2 linked regions of the Mytilus edulis genome follow. The protein of the gene in region 1 purifies or fractionates together with the protein of each later gene. This does not show direct contact. Links are inferred from orthologs where the notes say so. Each region holds a gene or a part of one and is shown on either strand. Other genes may lie near its edges.

Region 1 (8,540 bases):
CATGACCTTACTGTGATCTACACGACCTTACTGTAATCTACACATTATTGCACTACAATCGTCAAATTTGCAAATTTTTAAAGCGACCATTGCGATCCAACCACGAACTTACTGCACTCCTGCATAACTTCTACTACGATCTGATTTCGTCACGACCACAGGATTGTTTTTGGTACATTTTCAAGTTGGCCACAATCATCACGATCATGAGACCTCACCACGAACGTACCACAACCTTACTGTGATCTACATGATTGCACTACAATCGTCAAAATTAGCATTTTTTTAAGAGATTGTAGTGCGATTGTGGCCTAGTGTGACTGCAGTATTAGTTTCATAATTTTTGGTTGAGGCAAACTAAAGTTAGGAAACAGAAACCTATTTTAGTGCCTACGGACAGACAGACAGATGAATAGACTGACAAGGGTAAAACTTTATGCCCCCACTGGTATAAAAAGGGGGTTCATGGTCCCAAATGATTTGTGTGATGCCGCCTCGTATTAAGATATATAACAGATTCAAACCTTTCTGATTCACCAAGCATGCAATCCTTTAGTTGAACTAACAGTTCATTTAGATGTTGCCATTCTGAAAAGCTTTCTGGCGAACTGGAACAAGCTGATTTGACTGCGGAAAAGGTATTTTCCATTTTAGAGGCAGTATTTCTTTTCGGGCTTTCAATGTTACATTCTTACTCTTTTCCCTTGTTGTGTTTTACAGTTTCAAGATTGCGCAATCCTTCCGAAATTTCAGTATCTGGTACCCTTGATAAATATCAAATGATAAACCAGTCCGGATCTAGAACCTAATCAGTAGTCCCGAACCCGTAACAGAGTTTTCGAGAAATATGTTGAATTTGTTATATTATTCTATGCAAAATATATGGTAGCTTGCGCCAGGGACTGTATATACCAGAGACATATAATAATGTATTATATGTCTCTGTATATACTAATATAGTTAATAAAGAAAGTCACTGCTTGTGCATCTTAACATTCGACTGCAGATTTTGATAAAACTCTCGTAAAAGAATTCTGGGTCACTGCAGATTAAAATTTCATATAATAACTTCGTTTTTTCGTTAAAATACATTGAAATAATGAAATCAAATGCGGCTACTTTATATGGGTTATACTGTGGAATTTATAGTTTTTCTTTAATGAGGAAATATTTAAGAGGGTGTCCATGGAAAAACCAGGCACTGGGTGGCACATGACATATTTTGTTTTCAAAATTTTTTCATCTATTTCATATCACAAATTCATTCTTTCTTAAAGTTGAATTTTGTTTTTTATGCAACAAATAAAGAGAAAAAAAATACATAGAAAGCACTGAAAATTCATCGAAAAGGGGAGATAACTCTTCATTTTGCACAAAATTTTGTTGTATTGTTAAAGAACTTTAAAATCATTTTCTGAGCCATCCACTGTTCATTCAAAAATATCTTTGACATATATATCCTTTGTATGATATAAACATTGCATTGGAACCAAAAATTCTGACAGTGGGAAAAAAATTATGTTGTGCCACCAATATCATAGGATTTGCCTGATATTTACTTGGACAGCCTCTTAACTATAGAATTGATTACGATTGAAAGAATTGTTTTTCTTAAACACTCCTGAACTATTTGATAAAATTCTTTGTTGCTGGATGAACAAAAAAAAATTCTGTAAAATTCAGTATATTTAACTGCCCTTCTTTCTAAAGGAAAAAAACAATACACAGATAGACTTTTTGTTATTTTCTAAGTTTTATTGTTAACATTTTATTATTGTTTAAATTAGTTTAGAATTGTTTAAAATTTTGAACACACACGGTGATCCGCCATCAACAACACCAGATAGTCCCTAAATAACCCATATATAATGTGAAAAATAAGACATCACAAAACAATTAACGTGGGTTCGGTCTATTGACATAAAAATTGGTTCTGAATGTCACGGGGGTAGTCAGCATTTTTAAATTAAATTTATCCTACATCGACACAGCAATCCGCAAAGTGTTTACAACCAATAACCTATCAATAATAAAGCATGTCAACCTATGTATACTCCAACATCGCTTAATGATAAATCAGTGAATTCAATATACTATTGACTTATAATGGTTAACTTTTTTGCAAATTGTGACTTGGACGGAGAGTTGTCTTACTGACACTCTCACTGTATACCACATCTTCTTAATCCTATCAAAGAAAATTCATACGGCAACGTCAGCAACAAGTAATGGTGAAACGATTTCGTTCAATGCAAAGAACAAATTAGAAATTAAAATAATTATACAGAGGAATCCATTCAATCCAAACCAGCAATATAGTCTTATATTTTTTTGGTAAATAAACTAGTTAAATAAACTTAAATCAGTATGCATTCACTAACTTATACTCTAGCTGCGTTTTGCTGCAATTTTTTGAATAATGTTTTAGAGACTGTTCACGGTATGTTTTTCTTTTTATGCCCCATCTATGATAGTACACATGTTCCCTATGATATGATCATTCTAATTCTAATTCCAAATTAAAGTGTTAACCCCAATTTCACGGTCCACTGAACATCGAAAATGATAGTGGGAGTGGGGCATCCGTGTACTATGGACACATTCTTGTTCTTTATATTTTGCCATGGTGATGTCCGTCTTATGTTTGCCTAAGCATTTTGACATTCCCTCAACATCATCTTTTTGTAAGTTACAATTGGATCGTGAATTTCATAATTGCACATGGTTGAGTTTGTTCCGTATTTATGAGTGAAAGTTTGTCCGACAAATTATAGAGTTTTTTACTACAATGAAATTTATAATATACATGTATAATTATGCGAGCATGAACAAAGTTCATGAAGTGTCCTAGTAAAATATGAGAAGGTACAGGTAAAATGTACTACGGAAGGGCAAGATGTACATTTTTCGTAATTTAATAATTTGTTTCTATAATATTCGAATATCTAAAACGAAAGTTCAAATTCGAAACATTGTTCTGCTCGTCTTAAACAATGACGTCATTCAACAATGAGCAAATCCCATACCGCATAGTCAGCTATAAAAGGTCCCGACATGACAATGTAAAGTAATTCAAACGAGAAAACTAACGGCCTAATTCATGTAAAATGAACGAAAAACACTGAATTGTGTAACATATAAACAAACGACAACCACTGAATTATAGGCAACTGAATTGGGACAGGCACATACATAGAGAATGGGGCGGGGATGAACATGTAAGCGGGATCCCAACCATCCCCTAACCTGGGACAGTGGTATAACAGTACAACATAAAAACGAACTACAATAAAAGTCTGTTAAAAAGTTTAACTCATCAGATGGATAAAAAAAATATGTTCTTAATTCGAGGTACACTGGCCATATACATATATTTGGATCAATGTAAGTGAGTTGTAAAAAATGTATGGCCTCATAAAGACACCCCCCCCCCCCTTTTTCCCTCCAAAAAAAAATCAACAAAAAACACTTGTCAAAGATTTTGTGCGAGAAGATATTTAGATGAAATTTTCTCTTAAACGTTTCAGATTTCTCTAAACAAATGAAATTTATCCACATGAACTCTTTCCTTCTTCATTAAACAGTTGTCGCGACTGATGTTCTTTTTAAAGGGCACTAGCTGTCAAATTCATGTTCACCGATTTCACTTAAATTATCGTATTTGATTTATAAGTTAACAATGTAAAACATCTATCCAAACTAATGAAAGTCTTAAATAAACAGTTTACAGGTCGAGAGCTCGAAACTATGTGGCTTCGTTTTGTGTGTATTTTAGGCTAGACGCCATCTAATTAACTATCGAGTTGACCTCCGAACACCTTTGATGACCATATAAGCGATACAAACATCAAATGTAGATCTAAATAGATTAAGCAAATCGTGCAATTAAATCTTCCATGGTCTGTTAAATCTTATATTATAGATTAGAAATAAATGTTTATCTCCTTTTTTACCTGTATAAGAATGTTTTTAGTCAATCGAATAAATTACCTTTGTTTCATTTTCAATGTAGACATTATTTTCCTTTAAATAACATTACACGAACAATTCATGCGTTATCCATCTCTAACTAAGGGGTTAAATTGAAGTTCCCATGAAATACGGATTTACTGATGAGGTCGAGTTATTCGGTCTCACTAATTAGCAACAAGAAGAATTTTAGCGACATAAGCGTCAAGAAGCGACAAGAAGAAGAATATTAGCGACAAGAAACGACAAGAAAACATTTTTTTTTTTATTAAAATAACTTATTCCAAATAAATATTATTCATCATCAATGTTTTTCTAGAAGTAAACTTTCCTTTCAACGATGCTGATGACTCATTATTAAACAGAGGACAACTATTGTATATCAGATTCCTGACTTAGGACAGGGGCAAACATTTGCAGCTGGAAATTAAACGTTTTAATGGTACAAAACCTTCTCCCTTTTCTGAAACAATAGTAAAACATCACTATGTTTGAATAATTTATTCGTCTTTAGTGTCTTAAACTATCTGCTAATGGCAGTGAATATACTCATTTATATATGCAAAATAAATTATTGAAATGCCAATGTGACCAGTTTTGATATAAACACGAGGATAAAGAAATATGGTCGGCAAATCAAATATTTCTAAATAAAGACTAGGTCCACTTCCCCGTCCCCTTTTATGCTCAAAATCAAAAGAGAACTTTTACGTTATAAATAAATCTAAATTTCACAAATATAAATTGCAGGTAAATTTATTAACATTTTGCGTATTATATTCAAACACTGGTTACTAGGTCGGAAATGGTTTATTTATTTTGTCCTTCAAAACAGAAACAAGAAGTAAATTTTAAGATGTAACCTGATTGGATAAAAAAAAGTTCTGTAAAACAGGCCACAGACCACAATTAATTCCTCTATCAGTTCTTTATAACCTTTTGCATCATTAAAAAAATTGCACCATGCACTTTTGTCCAATTTTTTGTGTGTGTAATGTATTGTCCTAGTCCAAATATATATCCAAAATTCAGAAAGATTGAAGCAATCACTTTTACAAATTTAGCCAATACACATCCATACCCCTATTGACAAGTCAAGAGATGTTCCGAAAACTGTAAATATCACCTTTTTGCACTTGACCTAATCACTCATTCCATATCAAAATCAGTTAAAATACAACCTCCAAAAATTTATTTGACTCCTCTTCTTTCATTTCCACCCAAAAAGATTTAAGGAATGAGTGAGGAAAGGAAAGAAAAAAAATTAAGGAAAAATACACTCTAATTAAAAGGAACTATATTCGTGGACAACGAAAAGCGGGGTCATTAATTGTGGTCTTGGGCCAACACATGTGAAGTAAACTTCGGACTTGCAAATTACAAATATGCCGATTAGAAATTTAAAGGTGAATGCAGTGATGACAACACATGTTTATTGCTGAAAATGACGACAAAACGTATTCCCTATGTTGCACATTTATCCACTTTGCAAACTCTTACACATAATTTTGCTTACTTACGAAATTATACCGTGGTCACGAAAACTTGACATTCCCATGTCATTGATCAAAAGTCTGAACAGTGAAGAGTTTTATTAACAGTGTGCATGTATTCTTTTAAAATGCCATACAGCCACTTACATATGGAAAACATAGAACATTTATGTTTTGCAAATCGTACAATTTTTCCCATCTAACATGCCTGACCTAATGAGTTAGGAAGCCAGGAACATATAAATTATTGATGCGACTAGATACTACCTGATTATAATTTAATTCTGGATGTAACATGTCTTCTGATTGGCTGACTTCGTTTTGTTTATCACCCTATAGACATAATTTTGTCATGTGACCGTGACGCCATCAGCGTTTTTTTTATGATTTACTTATAGTATAACTAATCTCCGTATTTGAATATCAAAAATAAGACAACGCATGACCGAACGACACATGGATTAAACGAGTGCGCAGCACGAGTTTAATCCATAGCGGCGTTCGGTCACAAGTTGTCTTATTTTTGATATTCAAATACGGCGATTAGTTATTCTTTTTATTACATTGGTAAATGGCTTTTTTTTAATGAAATTAATGTAGAAAATGTAAGGAACTATATCTTTTTCCTACGCATTGACAATTTGTTTTGATCCGACGTTATCGATGTCTTGACAACGCCTATTGTTGTATGATGTCAGAGAGTGAAATAACCACGTTTATTTCACATTTGAAATTATCGGTTTTTATCTAACTGGGAAATCAATGAAATTCATTGCAACCAATGTAATAATCCAGTTTAAAATGGAATTAAGAATTAAATTATAAGAAATGATTGTTATATTTTTTCTGCCTTTCAAAATAGCTACGCACTTTATTCAGTGTGCACCACATTTTTTATGTTATTTCTTCATAGACAGAAAAAATATTACAGTCATTCCTTAAGGGCATACGATACAGTTACAGGGGAGGTAATGACGTTGCTAACGTAAATTGTTATTTTCGCAACATCAAACTATGACTTATCGGGAAAAGATTCAGTTTTCGGCTTATTTTTATCATTCAAACTTCATGGACCCCTCTGTTTTAAAGTTCCATTTGGTTTGATTATGTGAGAAGATTGTGTGTGCCTATTTTCATGAAAATGTAAATAGTGCAATTTTTTTTAATTTGATAAGGCCAGAATTTTTTAATTTGTTGGTTTACCCCATTTTGCTGATTTCCAGAATAAAAATAAAATTGACTTTTCATGCTTTTTTATTTCCGCCAAGCCTAACAAATACATTATCCCTGAAAAATAATTGATGAAATGAAATGCATTAATCACTAACAAAATTGATAACACTTTCTGTTGTGAAAAATAAAACTTCCGGTTTACGTTTCAAAAAATAGACAAATCAATAATAACTGACCTTGAAATGTCGTTTGCGCAAATAATTTTGCAGAACAAAATCTGTGTTTAAAATTAATTACACAATAAGTTCGTTTCCCTTATTTGTTATCAGTCCATAAGATGCATGATCTCATAGAAACAAACTTGGACAGGTGGAAGGCACCAAGTAAAAGTTCTGAATATCAACAAATCATTTAGAATTATCTTGTTTCATAGATAATAAAAAAAATATTGTCCACGGGAATGCATGACACCAGATTAACCCGATATTCTCGTTTTTCCAGTGTACGAGTCTATTACGTTTTTGACACGTGTGTTGAAACTTATTTTGGTACGATTTTTTTTTACATTTTTCTTTATCAGTTTTCGTGCTTTGAAGATCATTACTCACCAAGTTTTCTGGAATTGATTAAGAGCTATATACGCTAACTTGTTTTTCTTGTTTGTGAAATGACCATTTAATTTCGTCTTTGTCTGTGCACACACCCCTTTTTTACGGGAAATTATTAGACAATGTCATGCGATATTTATTACAGCTGAGCAAGAATATTTCTTCGAACTAAACTTTTTAAAGAATAATGACAAAAAAGCATAACAAAAATATTGTTAGAAAGGTGAAATATATATTTATTTTGCATATTTTTCTGTCTTGAAAGATCTTGAAAGATTTATTTTTTATTTTTTCCCCGACCAACCAACCCGACTTTTTCATGGGGAAAATCCGTAAACCAACAAATTAAAAAACTGTGGCCTAAATATATAGCAAAAAATGATGATTTTTTTTACATTTGATAAATATGAGTTATTTCTGAATAAAAAATGTATAATTTTTAGGATAATTACAGGGGTTTATCTGGGTATTTTGGGAAAAAGGACCCTGGCCAGTATAGGGAATTTTTTAACGCGGTTTTCAATGAAATTGGGAAAAACAACCAATATACCAGATGTTAGTTTTAGTGTGATTAGTTCATAAAATTATTTTTTGTTGGTGAAAATAAAGTAAGGACTACACCTTCTTTGTTTTTTAAATATAACAACATGGCATTTCAGTTTATTTGAGTATCAAAATAATGAGTTCCAACTTCTTAAAGGATTGTTACATTTTTTTGATTTTGACATGAAAATTTGTGAAATAAAATATTTTAAGTTCTGTATAAAATATATCCTGTTTCTATTTTCTTTTTTATATATCTTTTAGTTTTCAATTTTAGTGTTGCTATGATAGCTGTCACATGTTTGGTTCTTTTCATTTTTTATAAATTTACTGTATTTGATTGACAAACCCGGATTTATATACTTGTCCGTTTCCGGATTTGACCTGGTTTTAGTTTATTCCCACACTTCCTGTATATTTATTTATGGCAGCCATTGTTTGTCAATGTTGTTTTCATTCAATATGTTTCAACTTGGATTTACACATTACTTGTTGGCGATTTTTTTACATAAAGCTAGCGGTTGAATAAAATAAACATCTCTGTCATGAATAATAAAGATTAAAATGAATTTTGTGATCATTTGGGAATTTTGCTGCCAAAATTGGGAAAAATGTAGGGTTTTTGCCGTTGGGAATGGGTCCGAATACCGGACCCTGTGGAATGCTAGAAAAATCCATGAATTATAAAATACAGAAACTGCAAATTATTTAACAAAAAACAATTTGTGTTTATCTTTTAAACCAAAAAAGTTAT
Region 2 (8,391 bases), on another chromosome or scaffold:
GACCGTCTCGAGAGTTATATTTAGACTGTATATAAAGTAAATATACTATACATATAAATAGACTGTAATAAGTAATAACTAAGTTACTCTTTAGTAAAATATCTGCCTTCCAAATACAAATTAGAATAACAATTCAATTGAAAATGAACTGTATTTCACTGTTGTCCAGTCAGATGATTGGCTAGAAGTGACAAACTAGGGAAAATATTCCCACTTAATATCAATATCTTCGGCTATGCATATATCTCGTTAGAAGATTTTCTATAGGTCGTTCCTCAAAACACAGATTTTGTTTCGTTTCGTTGTGTTTCGTTTCTCAATTTACATGTTTTGTTTCGTTTCGCTGTTTCGTTTCGTTTCGCTGTGTTTCGTTTCGTTTTACCATGTTTCGTTTCGTTTCGTTTCGCTCTGTTTCGTTTCTGTATCTGTATCTGTATCTTGCCAATATAGGCACACCTTCAGTACGAAGTAATAAATCGAATATAAATCCAATCACCAATAGAATTATAATACAGTCTGTACACAATAAAAGTATGTCAATATATTCCTTCACCAATATCATATATCAAGTCTTATTCACGGAATTTAGAATATATTTACTTTTAATTAATAATAACTTACAGTCCACACACAACTACTACATAGCTAAATTTGACTTTCTTAAGTTTTTCTGTCCAGTGTTTAGGAGCTTGTATCTTTGCATATTATTATGCAGGATATATATAAGTGTTCTACAAGCAGGTTCAACATGCAAGCTAATAAAGCTACATAAATCACTAGTTTTGGTGCAAGCACATAATTTCACTAGATAGTATGGGTTAATTATCACATGGGTTAGGTTTATATCCAAACTAATGTTAAATAGTTCTACCAATCTAAGACATTGCTCACGTATCACTTTTAAAAGCTTTTCTCTGTCCGGTTGCGATGTGTTGCAAGCTAGAATAACCCTCTGAATTTTCATTTATCTTTTCTCTCCAGTAAGTATAAATTTTCCTTGTAATAATTTTTTTCCATTGGAATTTTCCAAGAGGGTAAGTTAGGAAATTCTGACAGTCTGGCAGATCACATTTTAGGCATATTTTCTTTATTTGTATGAACCAGCTTTTACTTGTATGTGTTTTTAATTGCAGCTGTCTTTCTGCCAATCTCCATTCAACTGATGTTTTGTTAGCTCTGGTGATATTTCCAAAAAGTGTTAAAGCTTTAAGGTGGATTTCAGCTTCAATTGGTAGCATTCCACTTAGTATGATCTAGTATGTATATAGCAGGGTCAGCTGTTTGTTGAGATAAAGAGAGTATTTGTTTAATAATTTTCTTGTGAAATTGGTTGATTGTGTCAAAAATGCTGCCTGTCGGAAGTAGTATTTCCAAACCATGATAGGTTAATATAGGCATAACATATGTATTTAAAAAAGTTATAGCTGTTTCAGGATCTAATCCATTCCTCCCATGTAAGCCTGCGCCCATTAGACTATATAATGATCCTCTTGCCTTCTTTATGTTAATATCAACAGTTAATTTTGCCGAGTTTTTCTGACACTTTTGTATACCAATATGTGAGGAGTGATCTACAACTGGCATAGGGTTATTGTTTATATGCCAAAAAATGTCCTCTATTTCAATCGATCTGGATGAAGTGTTTACATACCGGTAATATTACACTTTTTGTTGGTTGTAGAGTGTATCCCTCTCTCCTACTAAAATTGACTGCAATATTTACTAGCGTCTGAAGTTCTACTAGATTGTTTGCTATGATAGCAACGTCATCAGCACATGTTGGAGCACAGCAGCTAATATTGCCTATGTGTCCACCTATTCATGTGTCACATAAGAGGTTTAGTAGAGGGTTTACATACAACTTGTACAGATCTGCACTAATGGTACCACCTTGGCGTACACCCTGTTCTATCCCAAAGACTGCTGAAGTTTTATTTCTCCATTTTTATACAAGCTGTTGCATTTTTGTATAGACTGTCTATCAATATTATGGATTGATCATAGATTCCTGTTTGATATTATCTCCTTATAAGATTTGAATGTACGACCACACCAAATGCCGATTTACCATCAAGTAAAGCTATGTATGTTGGTAATTTGAGATCTTTACTTTCACGCTCAAACTCTTCAATAATTAATTCACATAACAGAGGGGTGGTGTTCTCGGTAAATGCTCTTTGTAATTGATTTTGTTTCTCCAGGATGATAGGGTTTTCCCGTAATTTAATTATCTTTTCAATTATTTTGGAGTATATAGGTGTGACTGTTATTTCTCTATAGTTTTTCGCATATCTTGCACCACCCTTATTCTTGAATACAGGAAATAGTGTACCAATTTTCAGAATATCAGATATACAGCCTAGTTCCAAAGATCTGTTGATAAGTAGTTGCAAATATTGTTGCAATTGTTTACCACCATATATGATATTTTCAGCGTTTACACCAAAGAAGTCGGCAGCTTTATTCCTATTTAGACATGATATTGCTTTTGAAATCTCTTCTTCTGAAATAGGGTTATGCTTGAAACGATCTTTACATATGTCAATTATAATTTTAGCTTCTTTTTCAATAAGATCTTGTCGATATTGAGTGTCATAATTTTGATTTTGTTCCTTTTTTGCAAGCTTATGAAAGTGTGAACGCCAGCCTTCAATGATATTATCGTTGTGATAGGTATTATCATCTACATGTAATTGATCTATAAATCTAGATAATTTTCCTCTTTGACCTTTTATAATTTTTATAAAACATGTTTCTGTCTGATGTTCTGACATTAATTAGTTTTTGACGTTTATTTATTCTACGTTTAGCTACTTCTAATCTGCATTCTTTACGTAGAATGTGCGTTGTTAGTTTATTCTTTTTCAGATATATGCTATCGGATTCTTTTGGACGTCCATTTAACTTCCAGTCGTGAAAAGCAAGTTTCTTCTTTTTGATAGCTTCTTTTATGGCGTCAATCATTACTTGTAGCTTAGGTCTTTTTTTCCCCAATTTTGATTGCTGGTGCTGCAGCTTTAGTAGATTTAACAATAATTTGATTGAGATTCTTGAAAGCGTTTGTTACATCTTCTATTGTCTCTATTGTTGGTTTGCTGTCTGGTATTTCTGAAGCAATAAGAGTCTCATATAGCTGTGTATCAACTTTATCCCATTTGATCTTACGTTTGACAGAAGTATTACTTGAATTGATTTGTTTCACAGGATGATGATATTGAAGGATCAGTTTAATTGGGTAATGATCTGATACATTAGATATTATGTATATATAAATTTTGAAATATAAAATAGTCAATGGCAGTGGTATCACATGCAGCCGTTTGAATGGATAAAAGTGCTACTATTATATTTTGTTTCGAAATCATGCTCTTTCATGAAGTCATTGACACAGGTCTTCCTTTGTGATCATGTTGGACCATTTACAATATCCTCGTTTAAGTCTCCTCCAATAATTATTTGGTGTGATTGTTGATACGTACTGACTATTTCATGTCACTGAGCAATGCAGTCTTGAAAATCACTAGTCTAAGGTGTTGAGATGATCCTTTACAAGGCAAGTATACAGAGAGAATAATTAAATTAGGATCACTAGTGACTTCTATTCCTTGAATTCTTTCGTTACCTATTGTTAATGGTGAAATTATTATAGAGTCTAAATCTTTTTTTCCATAATATAGCTATGCCCCCATAACCTCTAGGCATCTGTGTAGCAGGGATGGGATCTAATGAGTCAACTGCCTTGCCGACACCAGTAAGCTTGTCACTTATTTCATTTAGCATCGATAACTGTTCCGTTTCTCACTTTACCGGGACCCGAAATGGGTTTTTGAATGCTATGCCTAGTAGCAATAGAAAGGGATTAAGGGCAGCCATCCTTCTGTAAATTACTTTTCCTAAACAAAAACATTTCAAATAGAAAAATTGTGAATTTATACTCTAATCCGTTTACTGGAGCTGGTGGTCCTATATTTATAGGACGGATCTTCTACAAGACAAGACAAAACAAGATGGTCTGTTAATGTGCAGTCTCATTTAAAATTATCCCTGAAAATGTCTTAAACAAACAAAAAATGTTTTAGGATATAAATAAATACATACTTTATGAATACCCTAAAGTTTTTCCCCGTGTGAAACATGTTACCTGTTACCTGTTACCTTCTGTAGATCCCTCCTCTATCAAGAGAACCTGGAGTTCATCCAGTAAAATTTTGTTGCCTTATATTTACATCTGTTTCCAGTCACTATACATTTATCTTTAAAATTTTTTATCTATTTACAGCCTATGAGTTTGGTAAACCTTACAACTTTTAAATGTTTATTTACTTTCAAGGAGCACACTACGCTTTTCATGGAGCGAGTAACACAGGCTTCTATAGTGATTGATTCCACCAAATTTATGTCATTTTTCTCCAACACATGATACCACTCGAAACGACTACAGTCCAAGATTAATTGTATCATTTTCGAGTTACTAACGCAAATGTCAGTCCATGCAACAGTTCCAATCTTTGGTACAACAATTGTATAAAGCTTTGAGATAAAAATGTCTCTAATACTTGTTAGGGCAGAGCATACGACAAGAAAATGTTCTAAATGTTCAGTTCCTTCCTCACATAGCGGACAAATTGAAGTTTTTTGACCATTTGAAAATTTTGAACGGTGGTACTGTAGAATATATGTATCCAATAGCATTTTGATCTTATAACAGGCTTTACGTATACACATTTGTTCTGAACCAGCACTTTTCCATATGTCAAAGTTTACGGGAACCTGTGTGATTTTACGTAATGGCGGACAAATTTGCATACAAGTGTAAATACGTCTATTAACAACACCAATTTTACAGTTTTTCATATTTAGGTACCGTAATGACGGTTTTGATTTGGCTTCAGTAAACAGTTTTTCGGACCAAAAGTTATCAATACACTTTTTTACTTTCATTTTCCACTTGTATTTTGTCTCTGGTTTAAGTAAAACTTCTGAGGCACACGGCAAGTTATATTGTGCTCCGAGACGGAGGAATATATTTAGAAAAGACGATATTTACTAACATTATACATTCATTTCGCTTCCCGGTCTATTATTTTCCCACAGAAAAATTTATAAACTTGGCCATGTGGAGAAGAATTTAAATATTTAAAAATCAAAACCACTTGAAGTATTCTGACAAATACACCCTAGCGTAAGTATATAAAACTGTCATACCTTTGAAATAAAAAGAAAGTTAATTGAGTAAAAAGGCAATGAAATTGAAAATAACCTCTGACACTATAGTTTCATGTGCTCCATTAGTCCAAATGATTATGACGTCTGGCAAGGCTATTTTAATTTTTTCTCTGGGAGGAAGGCGTCCCAGAAAAAAATTAAAATAACCTTGGCAGACGTCATAAATATTTGGACTAGTGCCCCATCTAACCTCTGTCAAAACAAGTGGCTGTGATCCAAAGTCGCAGGAAGGTGTCACAGAAAAAAATAAAGGCCAAAAAATAAATAGCATTTCAAGGAGTCATAATTATTGTATATATATATTTGTAGCCTAGCCACAGGGGTTTGATACAATTTGCTGGGTGTATTAGAAATAGCTGAATTCATTTAATGTCAAAGAAATTTCAAGGGGCAGATCCAACCATCTTTTAAAGGGGGTTCCCAAATCATGATAAAAAAGGGGGGTCCAACTATATGTCCCTATTCAACTGCATTGATCATATTGATCATCAGATATATAAGGGTGTTTCCACCGCCGGGACTACCCTGGATCCGTCACTGAATCCCTTGTAAAAACCATATTCATTATATTCAGCAACAATCAAGATTCTACTTTGTCAACATTATCTCCCCGTTACACCACCATGACCACCTAATTTTTATAATCGTAAAAATGGAAGCCATATTTATATAGTGCTGTCACTTCCTGTTTCCATTTCTGCAACCCCACAATATCCACGTCTATTGTATTTAAGTGTTGTTTTTGGTCTTTTTTTGTCATAAAGGCAGCACTTGACGTGGTATAACATGTCAACACATTAAACGATTTCTTTGCCCTAACCAAAGTGTTGTTATCTTTTTATGGTTGTGACTAAAGTACATGTAGATCTGATCGTAGATAAAATGCAGACATCAGAATGTAATAAGATAGCTGAGTAGATAGATAAAATGTAGACCAAAGATTTAATAAATAGCTGAGTAGATAGATAAAATGTAGACCAAAGATTTAATAAATTAGCCGAGTAGTTAGATAAAATGCAGACGACAATTACTGAACATCAGCATGATCAGATTTCTGACTTAGGACAGGTGCTAACAAATGCAGGGGGTTTAAACATTTTAATAGGAACCAACCTTTACCCTTACCTGAAACAATAGTGTAAAATCACAACATACTAGAAAGACATAAAATATCAATTGAAATGGCTTAACTTAATCAAAAGATATATTATTAAAAAAAAAAAACATACACTGAACGAATAAATTTGATCTATGTCACAATGTAAATACACATCAATAAAAATATAAAGGTGTTAAATATTATCAGAAAGACAACAATAGCATTGAACAAAATGCTGCCAAGTAGAATAACGTAAATAGGTTAATAAAAATAATTTTGCTGTAAGGTCACACAGTCTTCACTCTTTACCACAAGTCCTAAGACATTGGCTTGTAAAATTGCATATGGGCTCGTAAAATTCTCCTAAAAGCCAACAAAATACAACCTTTTTTTCTTCAAAATTTGGAGCTTCTGGCTTGTGGATTTAAAAGTTAAGGGCGAAGGCAGAAGGTATACAATCATGGAGTACGGAAATATATTTTACATAACATTAATTTTGTTGTTCAAATTACGAGAACAGAAGTTATATTTGTTCACCAAGGACAGAACATTAATACTAGTCATGCTAGTAATTAACACATCATACTTTAAAGAAAATGCTTTCATGTTTTTTTTAATTTCAGAAGAAGTTGAGATGAATTGCATAAGAAGACGTCTGTTTCAGATGGCAAAATTGTCAAGAGGGAGACAACAGAATTTTAGAAAACAGACATTGCTCCACAGTGAAGGAGGGAATACAATGATGTCAACTTCTTACTTCTATGACAGTGAACATGCTCCCTTAATTGAGAAAGATTATACACTAGACTCAGCAGATAAGCCTCTTTTAGAAGGACTATTTACTCCAGAGACAGCTGCTGAATATTTAAGTAACCTATCTGAAGAAGAGCAGAAAAAACTGCAAGCTTATAAACTGGAATATGAAGTTACCAGTAGTATTTCAACACAGGTAACAGTTAGTCCTTGTATATATACACATGGAAAAAAGTATTGCAACACCTTGATTTTTAAAACTTGAAAAATCAGCCTCTTTTTTTGGATGAAATATAATAAAATATGTGTATAATATTATTGAAATATAGTTTATGATAACATTGGCATTGAAACGAACAAAAAATATTTGAAAAAAAAATGATTTATACAACCACAATTTTAATAACAAAATGAAGTGTTTTTTGTACAAAAAAATGCATTTTACAACTTTTACTGTCCATAGTCGAACTTTACAATGTCAGACATTTCAAAATTAATCTTTAGATGACTGTTCACATCATGGTTGATCGTTATACGCCAAAGAATTAGTACTTTGTGCGCAGCCTCCATTCAAACAGATAACCGCATCTTAATGTCTTCTGATTCCTGTCATAAATCGACTAATTTGTTGCTAAGGTAGCAGCAACCATTTCTGATGAAGGGCATTGTTTATTTCATGATGTGTTTGAACTGGGGTGTCCTTTCGCGCACTTTCCGCCCAATAGTGTCCCATATATGCTCGATATGGTTCAAAGCTGGGCTACGATCAGGCCAAGTAAGATGAACCAAATTTCATTTGAACATTGGATCTTCCTCCACGATGCTAATTTCCAACTTTGGCATGCTCTGCACTACATTGGATACGGAAAACTGTGTGTCTGTTCGTTAGCAAAGGTCTCCGAAATGGTCTTATCGCACGAAAACCAGTAGCTATGAGTTGATCTCGAACAGTTCTTGTTAAAAGGCTCCTGTATGGCCACCACTCTCTTTTTAGGATTGTCTTGTATGCAATGGGTTTCCTTCTGACCAACCTTCATTCTGCTTGATTTTCTCAGGCAAATGGTATAGGGGTCTTCATTATCTCGGAAGGGTTTTAACAGCGTTTATTGCCTGATTTTTATTCTCAAAACGACTTATAGTGGAATGGTGATGACCAACAATACGTGCAGTTGTTACAGCGACATCCCTGCTTCTCTTATGCTGATAATCTGCCATCTTGCTGCAGTTAAGAGTTGTCAAGGACCCATTACAAGGTGTCAATCACATTTAAAAACTTGGTTATTTAAAGTGTTAAAAACAATGAGGGTAAAAAC

Evidence for each region.
Region 2: the proteins of 3-hydroxyacyl-CoA dehydrogenase type-2-like (region 1) and tRNA methyltransferase 10 homolog C-like purify together in Homo sapiens (co-immunoprecipitation; 3 studies listed by BioGRID and IntAct, counting the BioPlex papers as one, with this or other methods). This does not show direct contact. The link is inferred for Mytilus edulis from reciprocal best matches to the Homo sapiens genes HSD17B10 and TRMT10C.

Annotation. Positions count from the first base shown.
Region 1 is NC_092344.1:67,261,765-67,270,304, forward strand, and holds the start of 3-hydroxyacyl-CoA dehydrogenase type-2-like, read left to right. Parts: upstream 1-4,806; 5' UTR 4,807-4,858; intron 4,859-5,314; 5' UTR 5,315-5,354; coding exon 5,355-5,375; intron 5,376-8,540. Other genes in the region: ataxin-10-like, read right to left, coding at 525-649. UniProt on the Homo sapiens protein: Mitochondrial dehydrogenase involved in pathways of fatty acid, branched-chain amino acid and steroid metabolism. Acts as (S)-3-hydroxyacyl-CoA dehydrogenase in mitochondrial fatty acid beta-oxidation, a major degradation pathway of fatty acids.
Region 2 is NC_092347.1:26,992,871-27,001,261, forward strand, and holds the start of tRNA methyltransferase 10 homolog C-like, read left to right. Parts: upstream 1-5,025; 5' UTR 5,026-5,182; intron 5,183-6,948; 5' UTR 6,949-6,959; coding exon 6,960-7,274; intron 7,275-8,391. Other genes in the region: uncharacterized protein, read right to left, coding at 2,019-2,774. UniProt on the Homo sapiens protein: Mitochondrial tRNA N(1)-methyltransferase involved in mitochondrial tRNA maturation. Component of mitochondrial ribonuclease P, a complex composed of TRMT10C/MRPP1, HSD17B10/MRPP2 and PRORP/MRPP3, which cleaves tRNA molecules in their 5'-ends.